2 linked regions of the Rattus norvegicus genome follow. The protein of the gene in region 1 purifies or fractionates together with the protein of each later gene. This does not show direct contact. Links are inferred from orthologs where the notes say so. Each region holds a gene or a part of one and is shown in the gene's direction. Other genes may lie near its edges. The genes, in order: Dock1 and Elmo1.

Region 1 (3,820 bases):
CTACTAGTTTAGCCACCATGATTCCAGTTTGTTGGTAGACGCTTGGACAGCCCATGCTCTAGCAAACACTAATTATTGGCTGCAGCTGGATAGGTGCTGTGTTGTTTGAGAGCATGCAGTGGTGACAGAGTGATTGCATGAGCATCATGGCTGGGAGGTGGCAGTTGGTAGTACCTTTTCCCTATTCTACAGGGGATTAGAAAGAGCCTTGGTTATAGTCAAGATTCATCCCATTGACTTTCTGCCTTTCTGTTCAGTCTCAAAAACAGAATATGGATATCAACAGACAAGCCAAGTTCGCAGCCACCCCATCTCTGGCCTTGTTTGTTAACCTCAAAAATGTGGTTTGTAAAATAGGAGAAGATGCCGAAGTCCTCATGTCTCTTTATGACCCTGTGGAGTCCAAATTCATCAGGTAGGCAACTTCCCCATTGAAGACTTCATCAGTTGCTTTTCTCACTGCTGTGATCAAAATACCTGACAAGAAGCATCTCCACCAGGGAGGGTTTTATTTTGAACCACAGACTGAAGATGAGGTCCAGCATGGTGAAGTCCTACTAGTGGGAGCTGCTCTCAGCTGAAGTAAATGTGCTGGTTAGTTTTTTTTGTCAACTTGAAACAAGCTGCAATCATCTGGGAAGAGGGATCTTTAATTGAGAAACATCCCTCTATCTGTCCTATTATAGGCAAGTCTGTGGGGGCATTTTCCTGATTAATGACTGCTATGGGAGGGTCCAGCCTACTGTGGGAAGGTGGTCCTGGGTTATAAAGAAAACCGAACTGGGCAGGGCCAGGTGAGCAAACCAGTAAGCAGTGTTCCTCCACGGCCTCTGCTTCAGTGGCTGCCTCCGAGTTCTTGCTTTGAGTTCCTGCCCAGATTTCTCTTTAGGGAGGACTGTGTAGGTTGAATGGTGAGATGAACACTTTGTTCCTCATGGCTTCTGGTCATGATATTCATCAAAGCCGTAGAAAGCAAAGAAACTCAGCCCACAAGCCACACCTTTACTTTTGGCAAAGTTTGGTTTAGGAGTGTTATCTGTGGCTTTCGCCTCTTTGCTGCCTCTCTAAGCTGATTGGCTAGTTGTGTATGTCAAGTATTTCCTCTTGTCATATGAAGAGTCATAATAAACATCTATTGAATAAAACCATTGGAAATACATTGGTCTTCAATATAACTTTCTCTTTATCCTGATTAAAAATAATTGTGATTAAACTTTGTGAAGTGTGTGTATATCTATATATCAACACTCCTGTATTTATCAAAATTTAAAAATGTACTATTTTCAGGAAACAGAACATATAGGTGATTTTTACTCTCACTTCTGATAAGTGCTTTCTTTCTTTTTGATGGAGATACAATTTATATTTTACGGCTTGCTTGCCTTTATTGAGGGCTCCGAATTAAATATACATTGTTCCAAATTCAATACACAGCGCTGTATTGTTGTCATTCTAAACAGACAGAGAGGTTTTTCACGTTATAAACATTGAAATGTCATTTGAAAATACTTCTGTTAACGGTTAATCCATGGTGTAGAAAGTGAAAAGGTTGTTCACAGTGCCTGCTCGGTAGGTAAAGAGGCTACCTGCGGCCCAGATACTTATCAACTCACAGTCAGATGCATAGTGAATCTCCATGTTGTTAATTATTTAGTCTTATGGAATACATTGGCTGCTCGTACATGTTTGGAAGATTAATTTGGTCCTGTTTTTTTCTTTCCTCAAGTGAGAACTACCTGGTCCGCTGGTCAAGTTCAGGATTACCAAAAGACATTGATAGGTTACATAACTTGCGTGCGGTGTTTACGGTGAGTACCAGCCATGGCTGTGCACGTTGAATGTCATTGAGTCCTGCTATTATGGCTGTTTTGGGAACTTCTCAGCATTGAATGGGGCCTATGGGGTGGGGGTGGTGCCACTTGTGACACTGGCTAACCCAGGAATCCCTGAGCTCTTTGTGGAAGTCTCGGAGCTTGGTCTTTGCTTAGTATTGTTAGGAGATAAATTCCTTCCCATCTCTTTAGCTCATGTCCAGTTCAGTGTCTGCTGTTAGTTTATTCCTTCCTGTCATGTGAGTAATTTTAAAATACTCTTATCTGGTCTGAGAACAGACTCTCGGTCCATTTTAACGTCCTTTTCTATTGGACTCGTGTTGAATCATAGTTCTCCATGATGATTTATGGAAATTAATATTTCTAGGATCTGGGGAGCAAAGACCTGAAAAGGGAGAAAATTAGTTTCGTCTGCCAGATTGTCCGAGTTGGTCGTATGGAGCTGAGGGACAGCAACACGAGGAAACTGACTTCGGGGCTCCGGCGACCTTTTGGCGTGGCTGGTAAAAATTCCACCCCTGTTTTGCTTTGAGAATTTCAGACCATTCACTTTGAGGAAGGACAGTGGGCCACTTTAATTTTTGGACTTAGCTGCTTGGGGGAGGGGGGCAATCTATGAGTTGTTTTTCATAGTTTGGAGCCTACCTGCTGCTTCTCTGATGCTTCTGATTTATCCAGTTTGAAAGCAGATCCCAGTTTTTACTGGGAGAGGCACTGAATCACTTTCCCACATTGTGGAGAAGCCAGCACTCCGGGGTTTGCTAGGCTCAGTGCTTGAGTGCTGGACAGGCACAGCCTAAGACGAGGAGCTAAAGGAGGTACAATACAGCTTGCACACAGGCTTGTTGATGGCTGTACAAGAAAGTGAGAGCCTAGTTATCTGTGTCAAGGAACAGTAAGTGTCCCCACTAGGTGATATCTTTGAATGTCAGTCACTTCCTTCATAATGTTGAGAAGCAGTTCTCTTTCTTTTTTTCTTTCTTTTTTTTTTTATTAACTTGAGTATTTCTAATATACATTTAGAGTGTTATTCCCTTTCCCGGTTTCCGGGCAAACAGCCCCCTAACCCCCCCTCCCCTCCCTTATGGGTGTTCCCCTTCCCATCCTCCCCCCATTGCCGCCCTCCCCCCAACAATCTAGTTCACTGGGGGTTCAGTCTTGGCAGGACCCAGGGCTTCCCCTTCCACTGGTGCTCTTACTAGGATATTCATTGCTACCTATGAGGTTGGAGCCCAGGGTCAGTCCATGTATAGTCTTTAGGTAGTGGCTTAGTCCCTGGAAGCTCTGGTTGCTTGACATTGTTGTACATATGGGGTCTTGAGCCCCTTCAAGCTCTTCCAGTTCTTTCTCTGATTCCTTCAACGGGGGTCCTCTTCTCAGTTCAGTGGTTTGCTGCTGGCATTCGCCTCTGTATTTGCTGTATTCTGGCTGTGTCTCTCAGGAGCGATCTACATCCGGCTCCTGTCGGTCTGCACTTCTTTGCTTCATCCATCTTGTCTAATTGGGTGGCTATATATGTATGGGCCACATGTGGGGCAGGCTCTGAATGGGTGTTCCTTCTGTGTCTGTTTTGATCTTTGCCTCTCTATTCCCTGCCAAGGGTATTCTTGTTCCCCTTTTAGAGAAGGAGTGAAGCCTTCACATTTTGAACATCCGTCTTGAGTTTCATTTGTTTTAGGCATCTAGGGTAATTCAAGCATTTGGGCTAATAGCCACTTATCAATGAGTGCATGCCATGTGTGTTTTTCTGTGATTGGGTTACCTCACTCAGGATGATATTTTCCAGTTCCAACCATTTGCCTACGAATTTCATAAAGTCATTGTTTTTGATAGCTGAGTAATATTCCATTGTGTAGATGTACCACATTTTCTGTATCCATTCCTCTGTTGAAGGGCATCTGGGTTCTTTCCAACTTCTGGCTATTATAAATAAGGCTGCGATGAACATAGTGGAGCACGTGTCTTTTTTATATGTTGGGGCATCTTTT
Region 2 (3,820 bases), on another chromosome or scaffold:
GCAAACTAGAAATTGCTATCTTAACAAGAAAGTCATTTCTTGAAAACTGAAACTCAGAATAATAATCTTGGGGAAAACAGGCAAGATGGTCCTTTAAAGATGTCTCTTAAAGAGGCAGTCAGTTATTACAGATTCCTAAGATGGGTAACTGTATTTTGTGACAATTCATGAACAGTATTGACTCCATGCATTTCTTGTTCTTCTGCAGTATGTTTTGTTCTGACTGTATTACTGTGCATTGGGCTCCCAGTTTGCTTTATTGGATCCCTTCTTTCCTTCTTTGTTTGGCTTACCATCCAATCATGAGTAGTCATTTGTGACCTAATTGTGTTTTCAGATAGCAAGCTTTGTGAACAAGTCTGCCATAGACATCTCAATCCTGCAGCGGTCCTTGGCCATTTTGGAGTCAATGGTTCTCAATAGCCATGACCTCTACCAAAAGGTAGCTCAGGAGATCACCATTGGCCAACTCATTCCTCATCTTCAGGGGTAAGCATGCTAGGCACTCTTGTGCCTTGTTTCTGGGAAACAGTCATTATGATGGACTGGGAAACATTGGGAACTGGTTAAGTTACATGCTCAAAAGAGCTTCACTTGGGAGCAAACTAGATACTACCTTATTGATCATGATACATCCCCGAGGAACCATATGTCTCTCCCCAGAGCCTAGACTACAGGATACAGTCAGCTTTGGTGACTTTTGGTAGACATTGGTTGAGTTTTACTTTTTACATGACACAATAGGATATTTTCTTCTCTTAGGTTCTCAATAGGGTCTGTGTTTTATAATATTACCTATGATATTTTCTGTGACACTGTGAATATTTTCATAATTGTTTTGGCATTTTAAGGAGTTAGTTACTTCAGGTTATATACTGAAACCTAATGTTTGAAGCTAGGATCGATATATGGAGAGAGAACGTGGGGCGCTTGTGGTTTTAGACTAGGTCACCTTAACTAGCAATGTTTAAAGGCAGGCTTCTTCCATCACCAAACTTCAGGCTTGATAGATAAAATGGTGAAAGAGTAAAACACGTGTATTATTTTCTTAAAAGCCTGAGTAAGATGTGGAGGTTAAACAACTGCCCTCAAACCCTGCAATCTTTGCAGAAGTTCCCCATTTTTATACTCTTTGGTAAACTAATTGATAACACTGAGAGGGACTCTGATATGCTATGTGGCTTGTTATATTTAAATATTGGTGGGCGTTGGCTGGTAGAAGAAACTTTGTGAGCTAGCTCACATAAGAAGTGAGTTGGTTGGAAGGATATGAGGATGCATTGTAGTGTCTAGAAATGATTTAAGGAGATGTGTTTTCAAAAACAGTTTGACTGGCATCAAGGTGACTCCCAACTCTGCTCTTCTGGGTTACATTTGCTTATTCTTAATAGTAAACCTGATTGAACCATTCAGGATGCGTGTAACCATGCCTAGAAGTATAGATCGGTGGGAATAGAAGGGGTAAGCCAACAATTCTCAATATACTGAAGATGTTGGCTTATGTTTGTAGTCTAAATTACAAAAGTACATTAGATGTTTAATTCATTTGGAGGTAAGGTGTGAGCAGAATGTAAAACTAAAGTCAGAGAAGCTGTGGACTTTGGCCTCAGGGACTTAGCCCAATCTCTAGTAGGATGTATTTTGTATATAGTAGCTTCATTTAAAATGACAGAGTTTTCATTGTCTCTTAGTGTGAGAAATGTTGATTTCACTGTCTGGATTTCTATTTCTGAATCTCAGGGGCACACATGTTCATTTATAGTACACTTCACTGACAAAAAAGCCTGTTGTTTGCCAAGATTTGTGCTAAGGATGGAGATGTGATGTCTAATTCTGCCCTAGATAGAGCAGCCCTAGGAAACAGTATCTTCCCTGAGTGTAGCTCTGAGTCTCTTGGCTTCTGCCTTGAGCCCTTATTCACTGTTTACCTCAGAATTTCTGCCCTCTTTCCAGTGAAGAGCAAAATTTTGAACAAGAAGTTCCAACATTTACTACTGTTACAGTGCTTGTGTTTGCCAACAAGATTTTAGAATATGTAATGTTGCTATGGGAACAAAGCTGTTTTCTTTTAGATAAGCCCAGGAATGCTGAAATGCTAAGACATCTACAACTGCTCCCATACATGGACCAGGCATTGGACAGAAAATCACACACACACACACACACACACACACACACACACACACACACACACACACACAGAGAGAGAGAGAGAGAGAGAGAGAGAGAGAGAGAGAGAGACAGAGACAGAGACAGAGACAGAGAGAGACAGAGAGTACAAGCCCACAGTATCTGGGTACTTGGCTTTTAATCAGATGACAAAGAGGGAGTAAACCAGCTGGCCTCATGCCAGCTGATCTCTTTTGACCAGGTGAGCTCTTTTGATCAACTGGTGTAATAGCAATTGTGTGTCTACCTGTCCAGTCCAGGGATGTTGGGAATATGTTATTATGTCACAAGTGCTGCCTGTATTTTCTGGGTCCTGCCCTTGTCCTCTGTGCAAGGCCTGCTTTATTTGTGTGTGATGCTGAGCCTTGCCATGGCTGACTCGGGACTAGTGTCTTCTGATTTCCTGTGTTCTTTGGGTCTTTACAGGACAGACCAAGAAATCCAGACTTACACCATTGCTGTAATCAATGCACTTTTCCTGAAAGCGCCTGATGAGAGGAGACAGGTAAGTCTCAGGTCTTTAGTCCTAAGACTGGATGGGGCTAGAAACTCTCTTCTCCTCTGGGAGCTCAGTCCATGGAACAGCCATGCCTTGAAGACTGGATGGGGCATAGGAGGAAAGAGTAGATGAAGAAATCATTTAATAAACCAATCTAACAGCAGAATCCATTGTAAATTCAGATTATTTTATGAGGAACCCAGTCTCAGAAATAAATTAGCAACAAGATACACACTTTCTTATGGAAAGTTAATGTTGACTCTGATAACCACGGAATAGATTGTTACATTGTTTAAATGTAAAATATCTGAGGAGAGTGAGCCCTGAAGATCAAGATCAAGTTCACAATGGTCTGTCTATGGATGTTCACTGCAGGCCTGTAAAGTGTGATTCACACATCTGTTTACCTGGATGCTTCTAGACTGTATCAGCGGCAGAGGGTTTATACTTTTATCTGGATTTGACCTTAGATGTAAAAGAGCATTTAGCTTATCTACATTTGATATTTGCATTTTATTAGCACAATTTTCATATTAAAGGAAAGGCATTTTATTTTCACTTTACAAATGAGGAAAGAGTTGTTCCAAAGGAGTAAAAAACCTGACCAGGTCAACACAGCGGTGAGAACTAAAGCTGTAGGCCAGCCTCCTACTTGATTTTAACTGCAAAGAATCCCATTAAATGCCCCACAAGCAGAGAATGCCCAAATTCATGAGGAAACAAGACCCACTTTCTCAGTCCAACTGGATTAGAATATTACTTAACTATTTTTACCTTGAATTTTATAGAATACCCCCTTTAAAGATTGATGATTAAGTCTGGGACATTGGATCAATTTTGCTACTATTGAATAATTTGTTGTCCTGCTTGTCAGGATTTTATTATTTACTTAAATGCATGAAATGAATTTGGGAGGACTAAGCTTTGGTATCTCCTCTTGGATTAGTGGTTGTGCTGTTTCTACCCCTGTGGGAATCCTTTCTTGCTGCGTGGATGAAGGGACTGTGCTCCTTGGTTTTGTGGGAGGAGGCACAGCTGCTGAGTGGCTATATAAATTTTTTCCTGTGCTATTATTTTAGTGGAAGATGTGCTGAGATGTTTTCCAAAGTTCTTTACAAATACTTAATGGCTTTATATTTGAAAATAACCTTT

Evidence for each region.
Region 2: the proteins of Dock1 (region 1) and Elmo1 purify together in Homo sapiens (affinity purification with western blotting; 12 studies listed by BioGRID and IntAct, counting the BioPlex papers as one, with this or other methods). This does not show direct contact. The link is inferred for Rattus norvegicus from reciprocal best matches to the Homo sapiens genes DOCK1 and ELMO1.

What each region holds. Positions count from the first base shown.
Region 1 is NC_086019.1:198,973,247-198,977,066, forward strand, and holds part of Dock1 (dedicator of cytokinesis protein 1), read left to right. Parts: intron 1-257; coding exon 258-415; intron 416-1,726; coding exon 1,727-1,808; intron 1,809-2,199; coding exon 2,200-2,335; intron 2,336-3,820. UniProt on the Homo sapiens protein: Involved in cytoskeletal rearrangements required for phagocytosis of apoptotic cells and cell motility. Along with DOCK1, mediates CRK/CRKL regulation of epithelial and endothelial cell spreading and migration on type IV collagen.
Region 2 is NC_086035.1:49,312,017-49,315,836, reverse strand, and holds part of Elmo1 (engulfment and cell motility protein 1), read left to right. Parts: intron 1-337; coding exon 338-489; intron 490-2,595; coding exon 2,596-2,674; intron 2,675-3,820. UniProt on the Homo sapiens protein: Involved in cytoskeletal rearrangements required for phagocytosis of apoptotic cells and cell motility. Acts in association with DOCK1 and CRK. Was initially proposed to be required in complex with DOCK1 to activate Rac Rho small GTPases.